3 linked regions of the Kluyveromyces lactis genome follow. The protein of the gene in region 1 interacts with the protein of each later gene in a pairwise test. Links are inferred from orthologs where the notes say so. Each region holds a gene or a part of one and is shown on either strand. Other genes may lie near its edges.

What was found.
Region 2: the proteins of UBR1 (region 1) and UFD4 interact in a two-hybrid assay, tested with the Saccharomyces cerevisiae proteins (2 studies listed by BioGRID, with this or other methods). The link is inferred for Kluyveromyces lactis from reciprocal best matches to the Saccharomyces cerevisiae genes UBR1 and UFD4.
Region 3: the proteins of UBR1 (region 1) and MCK1 interact in binary tests that used the Saccharomyces cerevisiae proteins (3 or more experiments, as listed by UniProt). The link is inferred for Kluyveromyces lactis from reciprocal best matches to the Saccharomyces cerevisiae genes UBR1 and MCK1.

What each region holds. Positions count from the first base shown.
Region 1 is NC_006042.1:1,408,988-1,414,778, forward strand, and holds the end of UBR1 (E3 ubiquitin-protein ligase UBR1), read right to left. Parts: coding exon 1,469-5,791; downstream 1-1,468. Other genes in the region: QCR9 (ubiquinol--cytochrome-c reductase subunit 9), read right to left, coding at 300-506, 1,006-1,074. UniProt on the Saccharomyces cerevisiae protein: Ubiquitin ligase protein which is a component of the N-end rule pathway. Recognizes and binds to proteins bearing specific N-terminal residues that are destabilizing according to the N-end rule, leading to their ubiquitination and subsequent degradation.
Region 2 is NC_006038.1:1,183,983-1,190,291, reverse strand, and holds the start of UFD4 (putative ubiquitin-protein ligase UFD4), read right to left. Parts: upstream 3,866-6,309; coding exon 1-3,865. Other genes in the region: mRNA turnover protein MRT4, read left to right, coding at 4,767-5,483; SHU1 (Shu1p), read right to left, coding at 5,577-6,092. UniProt on the Saccharomyces cerevisiae protein: E3 ubiquitin-protein ligase which accepts ubiquitin from an E2 ubiquitin-conjugating enzyme in the form of a thioester and then directly transfers the ubiquitin to targeted substrates.
Region 3 is NC_006041.1:671,388-676,580, reverse strand, and holds MCK1 (serine/threonine/tyrosine protein kinase MCK1), read left to right. Parts: upstream 1-2,793; coding exon 2,794-3,891; downstream 3,892-5,193. Other genes in the region: RPL25 (60S ribosomal protein uL23), read right to left, coding at 163-175; MRPS18 (mitochondrial 37S ribosomal protein YmS18), read right to left, coding at 954-1,571; VPS68 (Vps68p), read right to left, coding at 4,451-4,981. UniProt on the Saccharomyces cerevisiae protein: May be an autophosphorylating tyrosine kinase, a bifunctional (serine/tyrosine-specific) protein kinase, or a serine kinase that is a substrate for an associated tyrosine kinase.

The sequences.
Region 1 (5,791 bases):
TATGGTCATATATGTTTTACCCTTTTTATCTCTTGAATCGAGTGAGATTCCGATAGCGAAAAGGATGAATGTTATGAAAATCTGAGAACATCATTCCAAAGTTGATGTCCTAGGCCTGGTAGACGTATGGAGTGCCGGATAGATAAATGTTTCCCGACAGTAGCGTATCCACATTTTTAAAATATGTTTTGAAGTGACGGTATATTCTAAGAAGTAAAATAATTGAACAAAAGCATCAATGAAAAGACACTTAAAAGTATAATGATGAGAAATGATATAATTCAAATGTCAAAAGAAACTTATTCATCGTCTTCTTCATCTTCTTCACCACCGTTCATGATACCACCCTTGATATCTTTCCATAACTTACCTTTGTTGTGGTTTTCGTACCAAGAGGTCACACCAGTATCGAAGGCAGCTTGGAAAACGAAGGCAGAGGCGAACACGGTACCAACGAAAACAGAGTTTCTCTTAAAGACAGTTTTGTACAGAGTAGAGGCGAAAGACTGTGATAATTAAGTTGTTCAGAAAAATAATTGTTAGTAATATGATCTAATATTTCATGTAGTCAATCCGCAATGATCTGGGAAAACAGCCGCTGGATTTTGCCCAGAAGGTGTCCATTCTTCACTTGTTTGATGTAACTGATATACATGCGATAAGCCATGGTCGTACTTCGAAGATAAATGTAGTATTGAGACTGCCTTTCTATTATATGGAGATATCGGTCATACCTCCAGGGAACCTTAACAGGCATCGGAAACACCACGGGATATGCAGACATTCAGCTTTGGAAGTATATTTCACTAATAATAGTATAATTGTACATTAGCATCTGCTCAATGTAATTTGCATCGTGTTTACAAACAGTTTTTTCAGTTCCCAGTTTTCGGTTTCTCAATTCCAGAAGTCAAATAAGACATCTACGCCAAAATCAATGTTTTCAGATCCAGAAAAGACGCATATCATATGTATTATCCATGACTAATCAAATCATTAACATACCATTTCTAAAACGGGAGTTCTGGTTTCTGTTGAGCTGAACTTTTTCTTATTAAACCTTGTCTTTGGCATCAGTCGAAGTTAGCTTTCCGTTTTATACATTTATCCAGTTTTTCAAAAATTTGAAGAAAAGTTCCGTACTCGGATATAATTGGGTCGTATGGTATGATATCCAGAAGTAATCACGTGCAAAAGTCTAGTACTGGGAGTACTTTCAACATGAATTATCAAAGGGTGGGACAGAGTCAGGCTACAATAAAAGATTCTGTAAGATATTGGACGGCATAGTATCCTGTGGTCAGTCCACTCCACATATTGCAGATTTATGCAAAACTAGTAAAAATATCTTATATCGATGTGTGCATAAACGAAATAACGTGCTATTCTATATATATTTGGTACATTGAAGTTGTGAATGGTGCCATAAGGTTAAGGCAATTTTGAGGTGTGACGAGCAAAAAGTTATTCATTCTACGTTATTTAACTCGTTGAAATCAAAACCTTCTTCTGCAGAACTGTATTCCGTGTCTTGATCTTCCGAAGCGTTGTTTTCGTGCTCTTCGTCCTCACCATCTTCATTGCCGTCACTTTGATCATTCAGTTCAAAGTGCTCTCTATTTCTATCTGCACGGCCGAAGAATCCATTCATTGCATTTCCTTGCAGTTGTTCAATGATATCTTCTGTAGTCGGAATGTCTGCGCCATCACCTTGCATACCCCCTCTCATGTTTTGAACAAACTCGAAAAAATCATGTATGTCACCTCTTTCGGTTGGTAATCTTATAGGGATATCTCCACCGAATGGTCCACCATTGATGCGTAATTCAACATCAGGCTGTCTAAACCTTAGATCTGGACGATCATCATTCCCAAACTCATCATCGTTCATAAGGTCCTCGTCACTGCTCTCCCCACCAGCGTTGAAAGCAGCACCAGGTCTCCAAAACATGTTCCTCGTAAATGTTCGGTTATTTGCCATCGCAACCCTGAATTCGTCCCCCATTACTCGGCTGATATAACCGGGGATACCATTTGAAATCCAAAGACGAGTTAAATGTTCATATCTAGCATGATTTAATACTGTTAGATCACCTCGTTCGATAGCGTTTCTTCCTGATTCACCGTGTGAGTTCAAATAAGGGGCCGAAATGTTGACGGTACAGTCCGGTCTACTTAAATAGAGGCACACTTGACTGATATTAGGAATTAAAAACAACCCACTGGAACCATGGGAACACCTTTCCATGTGCTTTTGCATTTCAAGGCCATCTGTACGTGCGTGAATCTTGACACCACATATCAAACAAATTTTATAATCAAGTCTGTTGACAGTATTTCTAATTTTTTGATCATTCTCTTCACGCAAAGTAATGTTTTTATTATTAGTCACATAAGTATTCAAATGAGTTGCTAAATCGGTTAATTTGATGATACTGCAGTACTCATGTGGAGCATTAACCAAGGAGCTTTCAGGGGAGAGAGGAGAATGCGAATTCATCAACAAGTCATAAAAATCAGTCTGGAGCAAAAATCTTATCAAAAGATGGAAATGTTTTTCTTTGCTTTCGGAAGTAAGGCTACCACTCAGCACATCTTTTTCATTAAAATCTAAATCATCCCCCCCTGTCATAAATTGCTTTAAGGCCTTCAGCAAGATAATTGATCTCCTTAGCGTAGGTAGCAATTCAGAAATTAAGAAGGTATAGAACAAATCCAAGGTGTGCTTTTCAACTTGATCACCAAATCCAGCTCCTAATATCGTTGTTTTCAATACAATTGAAAATTCAGAGGAGTCAAGGCAAGTCTGGGCTCGAAGCTCGGATTCATATTTCCTATAGAAAGACCCAAAGTCTTTTGTCAGACCCTTCAAACGCTCCACGAGTACTTCCTGTAAACAATCCTTAAAGGAAAGTCTAGACCTTAATACCGTTTCAACAACTCGGAAAAACGGATAACTTGGTAAATTGCTGCTACGAATATCTTCATAGAATTTGAGTACATTCTCTTCAGTATGCTTAGTTAATCGTGTGTAGACAGCCAAGGACTTGAGAATGTTCTGCAGTGTCTTAAATTTCTGTTCTTCACCTGATAAGAGTGTTCCAAAAGGATCTTTATTAAGCCTGGACAACATCTCTAGCATACAGATGTTGTTAGAAAACTGAAGAGAGAGAGTTAAAAACCTATCCTGGATCCAAGTAGGATCATTGCGATTTAACCGTAGACCATTGTTAGAATCTTTGAGAGATAGTATTATTTTTCCAACTTCGTCGTTACATTCAGAGCTGTACTCAGAAAAAGTTAGCAATAAAGATTCATCCAAGCCTCCAGTCAATTTCTGTTGCAAAAGCCTATCACCAGATTGAAGTTTAACTGTATCGACAGGTATGACTGAATTACAATACGTTTGACATAATGGGCAGATGAAGAGATCTGTACTATACCGCTTCTTATCAATATAATGTTTGAAACAGCGATAGTGCACGGCATGATTACAAGATACAAGAACCTTCTGTGTAGACTCATGCATTAGTTGACTAGCTCCGTTTTCTTTTTTCTTGTAAAACAAATCTGTGTTATAAGTGGCGAGGTGTTCGTTATTGTCAAAGCCATGCCATGGTTTGTATATTTCCATTGGCGTAGGGTTGGACGATAGAAAGACAGGAGAGTAGTTTTGATAAATTGGGATAACAAAAAAATCATCTGACACATCGTCATGACAAAGAGAGCAGTGAAATTCATTGAGTTCTCCTGCCAGATCTTCTCCGTCCATATCCACATCTTCGTCATTACCAGCACTGTACTCCTCGTGCTTGTCCATGAATTTTTTCTGCTGACGGGAGAATCTATTCATAATCTGTTGTTGACGATTTTTGGCTAACCTTCTTTTACGCTCCTGCTCTGTCTCCTCGAAATTTACACCTTGATTTGCTTTTCTGATTTTGTAGTCCGCGATGTACTTTGTTCCGAAACACTCTGTTAGAGATTCTAAAACTGCCGTTGGGCGCTTCATGATCATGTTATCTAGAAGGTAATCAGCAGTTGCCACGACATTCTCAGAAAACGATCCGCTTTCAGAGTCAACAATGCTCAATAACAAATCACATATTGGTTTGCTAATATACGCCTCTGGCAAAGAATCTTTACCATTGACCATTTCGTCGTCTCTAAAAATGGCATGAATTAAATGAAGTAGCTCGTAAGTAAACGAAAAACTGGAATCGGAGACAGCCAACTTTAATAGCTTGAATATCAACTTCGCAAAGAGATTTGTTCTTGTGAAGCTTCCTAGTTCTCGCGCACATGGGTCTAATTCATCTAATTCAAGTAATTGGGGTTTGACAATTATTTTGGCCCGTTTTTCCTTGCTATCAGCTAAATGTGACTTAACAATCGTGGCACTATGTTCAAAATCATTTCCCATATTCAGTAACCGCAGGGAATCTATTCTCTTGTAGAGTTCCTTCTTTAGTTTGAAAACACCATTATCTTCGAGCCCTTTGGGCTCAATGTACGTAGAAACTTCTTCGAGAACTGTATCAAATTGGGAAACACTTTCAGTAAGGTAATCGGGTATATCGTTCAATAAGTCAGTGTATGATAGTGGTTCAGCGTATAGTTTATAAATAATGGCATTCTTAATGTTGTACAATTGTGTTTCTTCCAGGGTATCGAACTTTTTATAAAAGTCTCTTTCCACCAATATCTGATATAGGAATGCAACGAATTGTTGAATAATCGACGATATTTTATCATCGTACACTGTCTCTGTCGAGGGAACACTTCCATCAAACCAGTCAAGTAATTCCCACCTATCTAACATGTTATAGATGACTCTTTGAAAATCGTTTTTTTCAATTAGAAACGCCAATTGATTAAGTTGTATGTCTCTGCTATAGGAGCTCATTTCAGGATTGTTCTTGTAATATGCTGACTGGTGAAGAACTGACATACCATTTCTAACCCAAAATCCTATATCGATTTGCGAACATAAGACGACAGATCTCAAAGCAAAATCCGAAATAACTAGATAGTCTTTGGATTGAGATAAAACTTGAATTGACACCTGTAAGGGAACATGCTGCACAAGGAAAGAAAACAAAGTATGAACGGGATTCATAAATGAAACTCGTTCTTTGCTGATTTGGAATTTTATGATTTCAAAGTCTTTGTATAATTTGTATGACAAGTTTCTATGTCCCAAAAATGAATCCAATAAGTTGATGGCCCCAATAAGCAATCGCTGGTCAATGTGATCCTTTGATTGCTGCAAAACTTTATCAAAAGTCTGAATGATGCTATAGACTGATGTCGTATACTCCAAATATGGAATAAAATGCTGGTCTTCCCTTAAAACATGCTCTCCTTCCTTTCTTTTAATCTTCCATGCGCCGTTGAAGAGTTTACATAGTGTTACAATCATGATAAACTCTCCCGGTTTCAACAATAGATTAGGGTCAGTGATTTTACTGAGTAAAGTTTCTACAGCATACAATCCTTGTTTGAATGATATACTGTAGCTTTTAGAAGGGTTACTTCTCTGAACCCGTTGCCAAACCAACGTGCCCTCATCCATGGTAGAAAAGTCAACAAAAACGTCAATCACTGACCATATGACGTAGTTGAAATGTCCACTGTGAAAAATACTGTAAGCCGTAGTTGGGCAGGTGAATAACTGAACGACACTCTCCCTTAATGATGTAAGTTGAGGTTCACGATCCATGAAGGTCACACTTCGTGTCATGTGTGGGAAAATTTCGACTAGCTGATCAGTAAACATTGGTTTGTGCAC
Region 2 (6,309 bases), on another chromosome or scaffold:
CTAAGATTTTCGAACCACCTTCCAACAATTCTATATCATAACCAGGCAGCATGAAATATAGGTCAAGGTTTTTGATAGAGTCATCATGACGATTATCATACAAAAATGCGAGTGATTTTCCTAGTTGAACATCAAACTGTCCTACGAGGTGGATACAAGTTTCGAAGTCTTCTAGGTCAAGTCGATCATTCTTGCAGCATTTGTGCATCAACTCGAAGAAAACAGCGTTAAATCTAAAATCGAGAATCCTATTATCTAACATTGACCTAGCGACTAAGGTCCCCAAGTTTTCGAATAATTTCAAAGTCTTTTCGTTATTCTCCTCGGTGGTGCCCAATAATGGTCCAGGGAACAATGCACCTGTCACATACTCCTCCTCATCATCACTGGTATCACTATTGGTCTTCCACATTTTTAGAGACTTCCTTGCAAATTCTTTCGACATCAAAGAGTAAAATTCGAGAGTGGGTCCTAACCCTGTACCTTCTTCATCTTTGTATTCGATCTCCAATACGTTTGGCGAAGAACCATACTTTTTTAGAATTTTGATGCCGGACAAAAATAGTGAGTCTCTTGAAACCCTCAACTTGTGTCTAGTCAACCTGCCTAATTGATGCAATGGATTTTCAGTAGGGTTACTATGGTGCTGATCTGCCAGCTTTTCCCTCCAGTATTGGATCAATCTGCCATATCCATATGATGTATTCTGTAAGAAGTTCATTCTAGTTTCAAATGGAAACAAAAATCCATATTTTCTCGTGATATCGAGGACCCAACTTGGTAAGACCCCACATGCCACAATAAGTGGCTCTTCAAGTTGACGGGAAAGCTTAGCACTAATCTTTGGATTCACATAAATAGATGCTGGGAGTGATTTATGTTGGCAACATTGTAGAACTGTCAAAATACCATTGACAGGCTTCAAATCCGCCCCTTCAAAAGCTGTATCGGGGTAAAGCACATGCAATTGATGTGACTCCCTTCTTTTTACTGATTTCTTGAACTTAAAAGTAGGTACGTTAGTCCAGATACTCGTTGTGGGTAACCCTTCTTTCATCGCCTCTTTGAATATAATAGAGTAAATAGTTGACGATTGATCTAAAAGATGGTCATTCAACGAAAAGTCAAATTGTATGTTTTCAAGTTCTTTGGCAACATTTGTAGGGTTGGCTTGTTGATTAGCACGACTCATGCTCGGAATGATAGAAGTCAAAAATTCCGATTGCACAATCTTGTGTTTCAAGAATTCATCAAGTGTTTTCAAAGATGCAACGCAATGCACGGCAATTACAACATCTTGAAGAGTTTCTGGAACAGTATCTTTTCCCACTTCATCATCGGCCGGCTCATGAACTAATCTTATTTTCATCTGTTTGATTAACGAGGCACTTGGAGAATCGTTGCTACTGGCACCAGCATCTAGGATGGCAAAGGTTTCCGTCCTAGACAATGCATTTTGTAGTAGCTTCACAAATTCAGGCAATTTTTCCTCGAACACTTTCAGAAAAGTCCTCTTGGAGAATGATTGTTTCGTTGAATCAGTTTCAAAGATATTAGCCATAGAATCAATGAGACCAGTGGAAATGAGCTCGAAGCCAGATATGTTGGACATATCATCAAATAATGAGGATTTTACAGCAGTCCAGAAATCCATCCAATATTGTTCGGAATCAGATTGAACATCCAGTTCCTTCATCTTAGTGACAACAGCATTAATTTCAGAAAGCTCGCTGGAGACTTCTTCTTGGTTAGATGAAAACAACTCTAGTAGTGTAGCACTAAACATGGAAACATGTTTTATTAGGTAATAAGGAGTCAAATGATCGTAGATATTAATGCGGATTTTTCTCGGTTTGACAAATTCAGGTATGTTCATGTCGTCGTACTCCATCCTGTAACTGTCTTTTTCTTCATCATCATCTTCATCTTCAATGTCAGAATCAGATCCAAAAACAGGATGAGAATCAGAGTTTTCCGGACGTATATGATATCCTGACTTCTCGGCTTCATCTGATGACGATTCCTGTTTATCAATACTATCTTTCTTGCTGAGCTCATAACTGTAGTGAGAATTCAAAGAGGTTAAAGCATCTGGTATACCTTCTTTTCTTAGTTTCGGTAGATACAAATCCGGATTATTAGACATCATGATAGAAATTAACGAAAGCAGTGCTACTAGTACTGCACTGGTCTCAGTCTTCATATGATCTTGTTGCGCATTTGAACCATTGATGAGACCAGAGGATATTATGTTAATAACGGACGAACTAGGAATATCGTAGCCATGAGGTATAGACGTGAACACCCTAGCCAATGCAACAAGAACTGTATATCTAATCTTAGTATCCACTGTATTGGAATATATTTCCACCAAACAAGGAATCAACTCATTGACTAGTTCAAGGAATTTATCCTCATTTCCGTCAAATGTGAAAACTTTGACCTCATCGGCTGTCAAGATTTGAGAATCTTCAGTTGGGAGCAAAAGTAAGAGGAAAGTTGTTACCGACAACAAAAGCTCTTTAGGAACATAAATCAAAGTTTCACTGAAGGTGGAAGATGCTGATTTCTTATAAGACTGGAAAACGTTTTGAATAACTTTGTTCAACTCACAATCCAATAGGATTTGTTTTGACAATTCAACATTGGTGGAGACCAAGAGTGATGAAATATCCAAGACTTTCAAAACAGATTCACGTTCAATCTCTGAAGAAGATAACAACGACAATAACCTTTTAACCAACTCGAAGTCAAAGAGTTTAGATAATGATTTCTTGTTCAAAGATCCTGAAATGCTGTAAAGTGTTATGAGAACTGGCTTCAAAATTACTGGATTTGTACTATTTAGGAAGATAGATTTCAAGATGGGGAAAATCTCTGATACCACCTCGAAGTCACTTTCCTTAGCCCTAGCACATGAGTTCGCAACGATAGATAATGATTTTTTCTGCGCATGGACGGTAAAGAAATCCAAATATTGCAAACAAGAGAGAAGGGTACCGCTTCTTAAAATCTTAGATCCATGTACCCTTGAAATGAACTCTAAACACTCCAAAACTTGTTCTGCCAAATCGATATAGCTTATCTCATTCAATTTCCCTCTCAATATCTCAATAATATCTCTATTAACCGAAACCTCTATCATTTCTGGGTTCATCTCATAGTAGTTATAGAGACACCTACAAGCAATTAATTGTAACTCCAACTCTGCTTGTAATAATGGGCTAGACAATACATGGATCAAAGCGTCCATTAACTTGCCAGATGGGATGATTCGATCAGCGATCAAAGGGTTTAACATCAATAGCTGTTCAGATAATTCCCGGAGAGATTCCATAGCAATATACGGATCGTCTTCAGCTTGAAGCACATTCTCAATCAATTTCAAATACCGAGAATTTCCTCTGCTAACACCGAAAAACCCTTCAGACCTTCCTAGTTCTTGCAACAGATCTGGCAATGAACGTCCAAATGCACGCTCCGAATCAGCTTCCTCGCCTTCAGCAACATCACCATCCCCACTTTCACCAGATCTTTGATCCGCTAGACGAGAAACAATATCTTGTAGAAACGAAATCCTGTCCGCACGGTCCCCAGAACGGCTTTCATGATAAACATTCCCTATCTCACCTTCTACTTCCTCATCGTCTTGATCTTCATCTTGATCTTCGTCCAACTGCTCTCCTTGCGATCCATCTTCTTCCCCGTCTTCGTCTTCATCATCATCATCATCGTGATGGACAAACTCTAAATCATCTTCATCCTCTGGATAAGAATATTCGCCAGATTCAACATCATCACTTTCATGGCTACCGTTCGCATCTTCATATATGATATAGTCGCCATCGCCATCGTAATAACTCATCTTTTCAAAACCCTTTCCTGTTTCAAATCACAAATAAGAGGCAAAATTACTATCTAAAATTTCTAGTTCACAACCCGGTATCTCTTACCACCTTAATAATTGGTATCTTAGAGGTTGTTAGACTTTGGCAAGCAATACAAGAGGTATGTTTAACTCGCCGGCTGTTCATATCAAACCAACTAGTTTGTTTCCTGCTAAATATGTACTGAGATTGCAATTTCCTGACTCTGAACTTTTAAGGTACATTTTGGTCCGGTACACTGCGGTTTTATCTGAGGAAAATATACACAATACCCGTCGCCACAAGTAATGAGTCACGTGACTAAGTTTACTTCCCCATTTACAATACATCTCCGGTAATAGGTTAAATCATTACCACTATATCTACTTGCCCGATACACGATCATGCCCTATCTGTGCCTTTCTAGTCTTGATATTTGTGTTGAATTGAGATCTATTGTCTCATTGGCAATGAGTGAGAGACTCAGAAATCAGTCAAGGGAATTCATACCGGAGTTTGGTTTTGCAGTTCCTTAGAATAAACCTCTCTAACCGAGCTTATGAGAATGGCCCTAGAGCATTGCAAAAGAGCCGGTATATGTCTTACCGATTCACTTTGTGTCAGAGGTCGTTACTTTCCGTTTGGAAAAATCAAATCACGTGACTCACAACTAGAAAGAAAAAGAAAGGCGCAAATTTTTCAGTTTGAGAAAGCTCATCTCATCGCATCTACTCGATGGACCTTTCATAGTTTAAACTGATCAACAGTACTAATCGCTATATTCTATCAGTTGTATTCCTCTTTATTTATCTCTCTTCTGTAATTGAATAGTGTTCTGATAATTGTTTACTTTTCGTTACTCTTTATCATCAAGCTACTACATATACCAACCCAGATACGATGCCAAGATCTAAGCGTTCAAAGTTGGTTACATTGGCCCAAACCGATAAGAAGGGTAGAGAGAACAAGGAAAGGATATTCGATGAAGTTAGAGAAGCCTTGGATTCTTTCAGATACGCTTGGGTTTTACATTTGGAAGATGTGAGAACTCCAGTTTTGCAAGAGATTAGAAGTTCTTGGGTTGGATCCAAGTTAATCATGGGTAAGAGGAAGGTGTTGGTGAAAGCGTTAGGTGAAAAGCCAGAGGAAGAGTACAAGGAGAACTTGGCCAAACTATGTAAGCACTGTTCTGGTGTTACTGGTCTATTATTTACCAACGAACCTGTCGATGTAGTGGAAGATTACTTCAAGGCATATGTGAGAGCTGATTTCTCCAGACCAAAATCAAAGGCTCCATTGTCTTTTACCATTCCAGCCGGTATTGTATACTCTCGTGGTGGTCAAATCCCAGAAGAAGAAGATGTGCCTATGATACATTCTCTGGAACCAACTCTAAGAAACAAGTTCAAGATTCCAACCAAAATTAAGAATGGTAAGATTACCATCGAATCTCCATACTTGGTCTGTGAAAAGGGCAAAACTCTAGATGTTACTCAAGCATTGATCTTGAAACAATTTGGTATAGCAGCTGCTGAATTCAGGGTGAAGGTTGCCGCATACTACGATAACGAAACTTCTAGTGTGGAACAGATCAATATCAACATGGATTCGAAATAAATCCAAAAATAAGAAAGCATTGCAGTGATAAACTATAAATATATATATATAATCATAACCTATATATTTCTCCTTTGTACATTAATCTCTTCTCTAGGAATCCTTTATCGAATACACGTACTGCCAATATTCGGTCAGATTCTTCCAACCTTGAGACATCATTCCCAGATCTGTCGCTGACACCATTCTGATACGCACAGCGTACTGATTTTCCAGTCGAAGCGATCCATGAAGGATGAGGTTACAATGTCGCAGCTGGGAGATTGACAGATCAAGAGTTTTCTGTGTCTCTTCTGATTCCAATTGTTCTTTCGTCATTAACAGGGACTCTAAACCGTAGATGATAATTTCTTCATAGCACATCGATGTGTTTCCTTTATTCTGGAGCTCAATCTCGACATATGTCAAGTACATATATAAATACTGTAATTTATCAAGGAACAGAATCCGCACGTTGGATCGTCCCCTGACTATATCATCAATACTGTTAAAGAAATGCGTCTTGTTTTCCCGTAGATCTTGCTCGAAGAAACTTCGAGCCTTAACGCCAACTGCTATAACTAGAACTTTCTTGTTACGGTCCAATACATCACGCAGTACATCTTCCATCGGTTTATAAGGATGAAAAATAATCTTAACCAATGCTATCCTACTAGGAAATACCTTATCCTAATAAATTAATTTCACGCTTGTAAGCCGGTACATTAATTGTTTCAGATGCGTAATAGCCTTGACGGTTTGAAATGTTGATACTTAGACCACATAAAACACGTGATATTTAATTACTGAGAATATATCAAAGTATCAACTCGTATACAATGATCTG
Region 3 (5,193 bases), on another chromosome or scaffold:
TGGTTTCTCATTAGCGTACTTATTCTACCATTCGTTTGCTCCCACAGGTGTGTAATTACACTCTCAAGGTAATATCTTCATTCTCACTTGTTCAGCCCGCGGTAAGTCGTTATCCCACCATTATCAGCATGTAGCTTTCAGTTGCGCATCTCAGTAACATACTAGATGGAGCCATTTTTGTGTCTTGGTTGTGTGCGGCCTCTTTGAATGCTAATCAAGTGTACTCTAATACCGAATGATATTGAAATATTCTTTAAAACGTTCAATATTACTTTTGATGAAACAATACAGATACAAGGTCGCAAGCGAAACTGTCCGTAGTCGAAAGGAATATTCAGCACGAACAGGGTATCCCTGGCCAGGTAGCACAATCGCACTGTGATTTGCAGGTACAGGATATGGCTCCAGGCTCAGGGAAGGAATGGATGATAGGCTGGATGGACAGCAGTTCCTGCCTACGCACCTCAGAATGTCAGTGCGAGTAGAGGGGAGAGTGGGCAGAATCAGAGTCCTCTCGCTGGGAAGACTAGACTCGAACGGAGCGACAGAAGGAGAACGGTGAGAACCTGGCAGCCGGAACGCCTCCTCTGCCTTTCCTTTTTTTAGAACCTCCAATTGAAATTTTAATTACCTAAAATGGAATACTAAAATACCTAACAATTTTTACAAAAAATCTAAAGCCAAATCCGTGCATCCACAAAACAGTCCCGCTACTTTCCGGAAAATTTTAAATCTTCGATGAAATTAGCATCCAGAGATTATAAGGCATGAGCAATGTCATAATTGTGTGAAATCATACTTCGAATTGCTGTCTTAATGTATTTAAACGAAAATTCTGGTGCGTTACGTTAAATTTATATACATGCATTATTTGTTATTATACCGAATTATTTTCCAAATTCATGTCTATACACAGAGACTATTAGTGAAAGATGAAATGGTGAGAGACCGAATCACAATCTTCTTGGTCTTGGGGCCTTCACACCACCGAATTTCAATTCAGTAGCATCGGCTACTCTAGATATGTGACGTCTGATGAGGTTTCCTTCCTTACCGTTCAATGCACTGATGAAAGCATCTCTTCCCTTACCGAAGTCTCTCATAACAATTTCTATATTCTTATCCAGTAGCTTCTTCTGATAAAGAGTTTCAAATAACTTAGTTGCTGTTTGGAATGAGGCTTCATATTCACCACGGGCAGCTTTACGGAACCCTAAATGACCAGTAGATAAATGAAATTTGACCTGTTGTGGGAGTTTCAAATAGTATAGATATTTTTCGTTGTAGGATAATTGTGGATTGTTCGCCAAAAAGTTTCTATCCTCCATTACGGCACTGTATGTGAAATGTGTATTGTTCTTAGTGAATCTGCAGTTCAATATATATTTTATCACTGCTTCATCGACTCTCCCTTTCTTATTGCTACCACGAAGAGTATTAGGTTGGACAACATTGGTGTCTTCCATCACTGGAGCCTTTTCTGATCCTTTGACAGATGAAAATAAGATGGAAGCCACATCTTGGTTTGTCCTGGCCGTTGAGCTGAACAGTCTCACTAATGTTCTCAGCATCGTGGTGTATTTTCGACGCCGATTTATATTAACCACAACCTGTGTCTTTCTCGAATGCAGGTCTCCATACTCAGACGAATAGTATTCCTCTATGAAATGCAAACTCTAAATATCTTCTGTTTTCCCAATTCATTTTCAAGATATGCTCATAAACCATTACCCGGTGTTGCATTAACACGTGACTAACTTGTCATTACCCGGTGTATAAGGATTAGCCTTTAATGTGAAGTGCCTGCAGTCCACTGGCGGAAGATATCACGTTGATAAAGAGTGCCGAGATGCGATGGGGTAAACATTTGATAGAAATATTATATGCAGACTGGCGAAGATCACCTCGCATTCCCCAAACCATTTCTACAACTTGATGCTACAATCAAGAGAAAGTTCAGGTGGAGGATATAGGACCTGAACCTGAGTAATTCCTCATTAATGCTATAAATGCCAATTTAACTTCGTTTGTGCATTCATATCTAGAGAGAGTGTAGTACTCTCAGAGTCGAACTTCATAAAAGCTGGCTCTGGGAGATCTTAGAATTAAATTTTGTTTGGAACGTTCCCTCAATTAGAACGTCTTTTATATCGCTTTTATCAATAATTGTGTAACTCAGTCAGTAGTCAGTCAGTCATATTGATATCAGATTCTTGGAAAACCGAATATGAAAATCAATTTTAGTTTTAGGAAATTAGGAAAAAACAAACAAAAAATAAACCAGAACCTTGTTTCAAAGTAACAAATAGGGTCTCTGATAACGGACACAACACTGCTAAGGGTGCTCAAACGTTTAAGTTCTGGGAACTTCTAGTTGTTGAATTTGCCGAGCGATTGCAGCGCGAAGAATTTACTGCGAAGAAACATTATAGACACTGCTGCATCACTTGTTGCAAGGGACTAATTGACTTGCTTGAGTAAGAGTGTTTTCCCCCTGTTGTGTTGCTTTTATTAATATTAGCGATTTCATTTCATCAATTCATTTAATACAGATTTTATTGATTCATTACAATTCAATATTTCCCTTTTTTTCCTGAACCATCCACGTTACATCCGTTAGGAACATATCTATATTCTAAGGTTTGCTTGCAAAATAACGGTTGAAGTTTGTAATTTGAAGACTTGAGCGAAATACAACGAACAAAAAGTGGTAATTTTTTTCTTATTCGATAGATATCGCATCGCTTTTGTATCTGTTACTATCTGTCTTCTTTCCCCTTATTGCGATTCGCCATGTCTATGCAAAGATTAGATGAATACGTGGCTCATGATGTCATCAGTAATAAATCCAATGTCAAGCGAGAAATGCTCGTAAAGGAATATAAGCGAATTGGGCAAGGTGCATTTGGCACGGTGGTGCAAGCTTACCTAACACCGGATAATCAGAAGTGGTTGGGTCCTTTTGCCATTAAGAAGGTTCCTGCTCAGACTGAGTATAAATCTAGAGAGTTAGAGATTTTACGAATTGCGGACCATCCAAATGTTGTCAAATTGGAATATTTCTACACTCATATCTCACCAACAGATCATAAATTATACCAACATTTGGCGATGGAATGCTTGCCCGAAATGCTACAAAACGAAATTTTACGATATAAGAAGAATAACTTGGAGTTACCGTTGAAGCACGTTAAACTATACGCCTACCAAATTGCTAGAGGTATGCTTTACCTACATGCACTAGGAATATGCCATAGAGACATAAAACCTTCAAACGTCTTGGTTGATCCACAAACGGGTATATTGAAGATTTGTGATTTTGGATCAGCGAAAAAGTTAGAATCGAACCAACCATCGATTAGTTACATCTGTTCAAGATATTATAGAGCTCCAGAATTGATTGTAGGATGTACACAATACACAACAAAGATAGATATTTGGGGATTAGGATGTGTATTGGGAGAAATGCTCTTAGGTAAAGCAGTATTCCAAGGCCATCAACCATTATTACAACTACATGAAATCACAAAATTACTCGGGCCTCCTGACAAAAGGTTCATCTTTTTTTCTAATCCATCGTACAATGGACCTTTATTCTCCAAGCCATTATTTGAAGGAGCTCCAAAAGCAAGATTCGAGAAATATTTCGGCTACGCTGGACCAGATGGTGTTGATTTGTTGATGAGTGTGTTGGTATACGAACCTGAAAGAAGAGCTTCTCCAAGAAGGATCCTTGCACATCCATTCTTTGATGATTTAAGAAATGAGCGCTATTTCTTCCCTAGCGGAAGTTCACAACCTAAACATTTACCTCCTCTTTATGACTTCTCTGATTTCGAATTGCAAGTCATTGGCGACCTTTTTCCAAAGATACAGCCAAAGCAAGATTGATTCTTGCCTCTTGACATTTTTTTCCTTTCTGTAATCCTTTGTATCAACTTCAATGCATTTCACAAGCTACGATAAACTATCTCAAGGACAGTCTTTCCGATGATTCTACGTCCTCTAAATCCAGTTCTCAGCATCATTGTTTTTCAATCCTGCTGTTTATCTTACCTTTAATCTTTTATTTTATTATTATTATTATTATTATTATTATTATTATTATTATTATTATTATTATTATTATTATTATTATTATTATTATTATTATTATTATTATTAATTCTACGCTCTTCTAATACATCGATATTCTTCATTCAGCACTCCAGGCTTAGCCCGTTACCAATTTATCGTACGTTACCGTTCATGCTAATTGTGTTCCAGAGATAATAAAATGAGACATGTACAACTCATAGAGGGGCTGTTGAGTCATAGGAATAATTGACCGTTTCTAATACGTTTTAAAATTGGGAAGGTATTTATACGTATACATGCAGAAGGCTATATCTGTACACTGTTCTTAAATACGGCAATCCAATATGATACTTCACGAAGTTTCATTGACACATCATAGAGTCAATGAATAGTTATATTCATCCTCCACATTTTGTCCAATCCATAACATGGTGCAACTTAGAAGAATAGCCAGGTTTGCAAGCACATTGTTAATTCCCATTCCTAAGGTTGGATAGGAGGTATAATCCTTCAATAAAAACTTAACAATCAAAACGACCAAAGAACCGGAAATGCCGCTTGCTAACAGTGAAAATCCTAGGAAAAGTACTACTCTGGCCTGCCATGCAGTAGATTGAGATCCGGTGAACGTTCCTGAGGATAAAGCGTCTTGTAGCAATCTATTTTTTTCGATAGAACTCACAATTGCCATCCCAAGCACACTGCATAGCATTGGCACCCAGTCAATAAATGAAATGTGCAAATCTGAACCATTTGCATGCTTGGAGTACAACACACAATCTAAGAAGGACCAGAGACCCGCACCGTATAAGGCACCAGCTACATAAACGCACACCTTTTTGGCCGATACCGAAGTTGGCAACTTGAAGGGCAAACGAAACAGTCTTTCATGTGAGGTGTCCATTGTATTAGGCGTGTAAGCTGTTCAATCTAAAAAATAACCGTTGTATTTACCCTGTAAGTTAAAACAAGATGTTCAGCAACAAATAGAGCCAGCAGTCCCGTTGACTTTTACTTTAGTACCTTTAAATATATTCTTCTTTAAAGCTCACACTTGTTGGATTTCCTTTATTTTCCTATGAAATAATATGGGAGAATATCATGCAGATACAAATA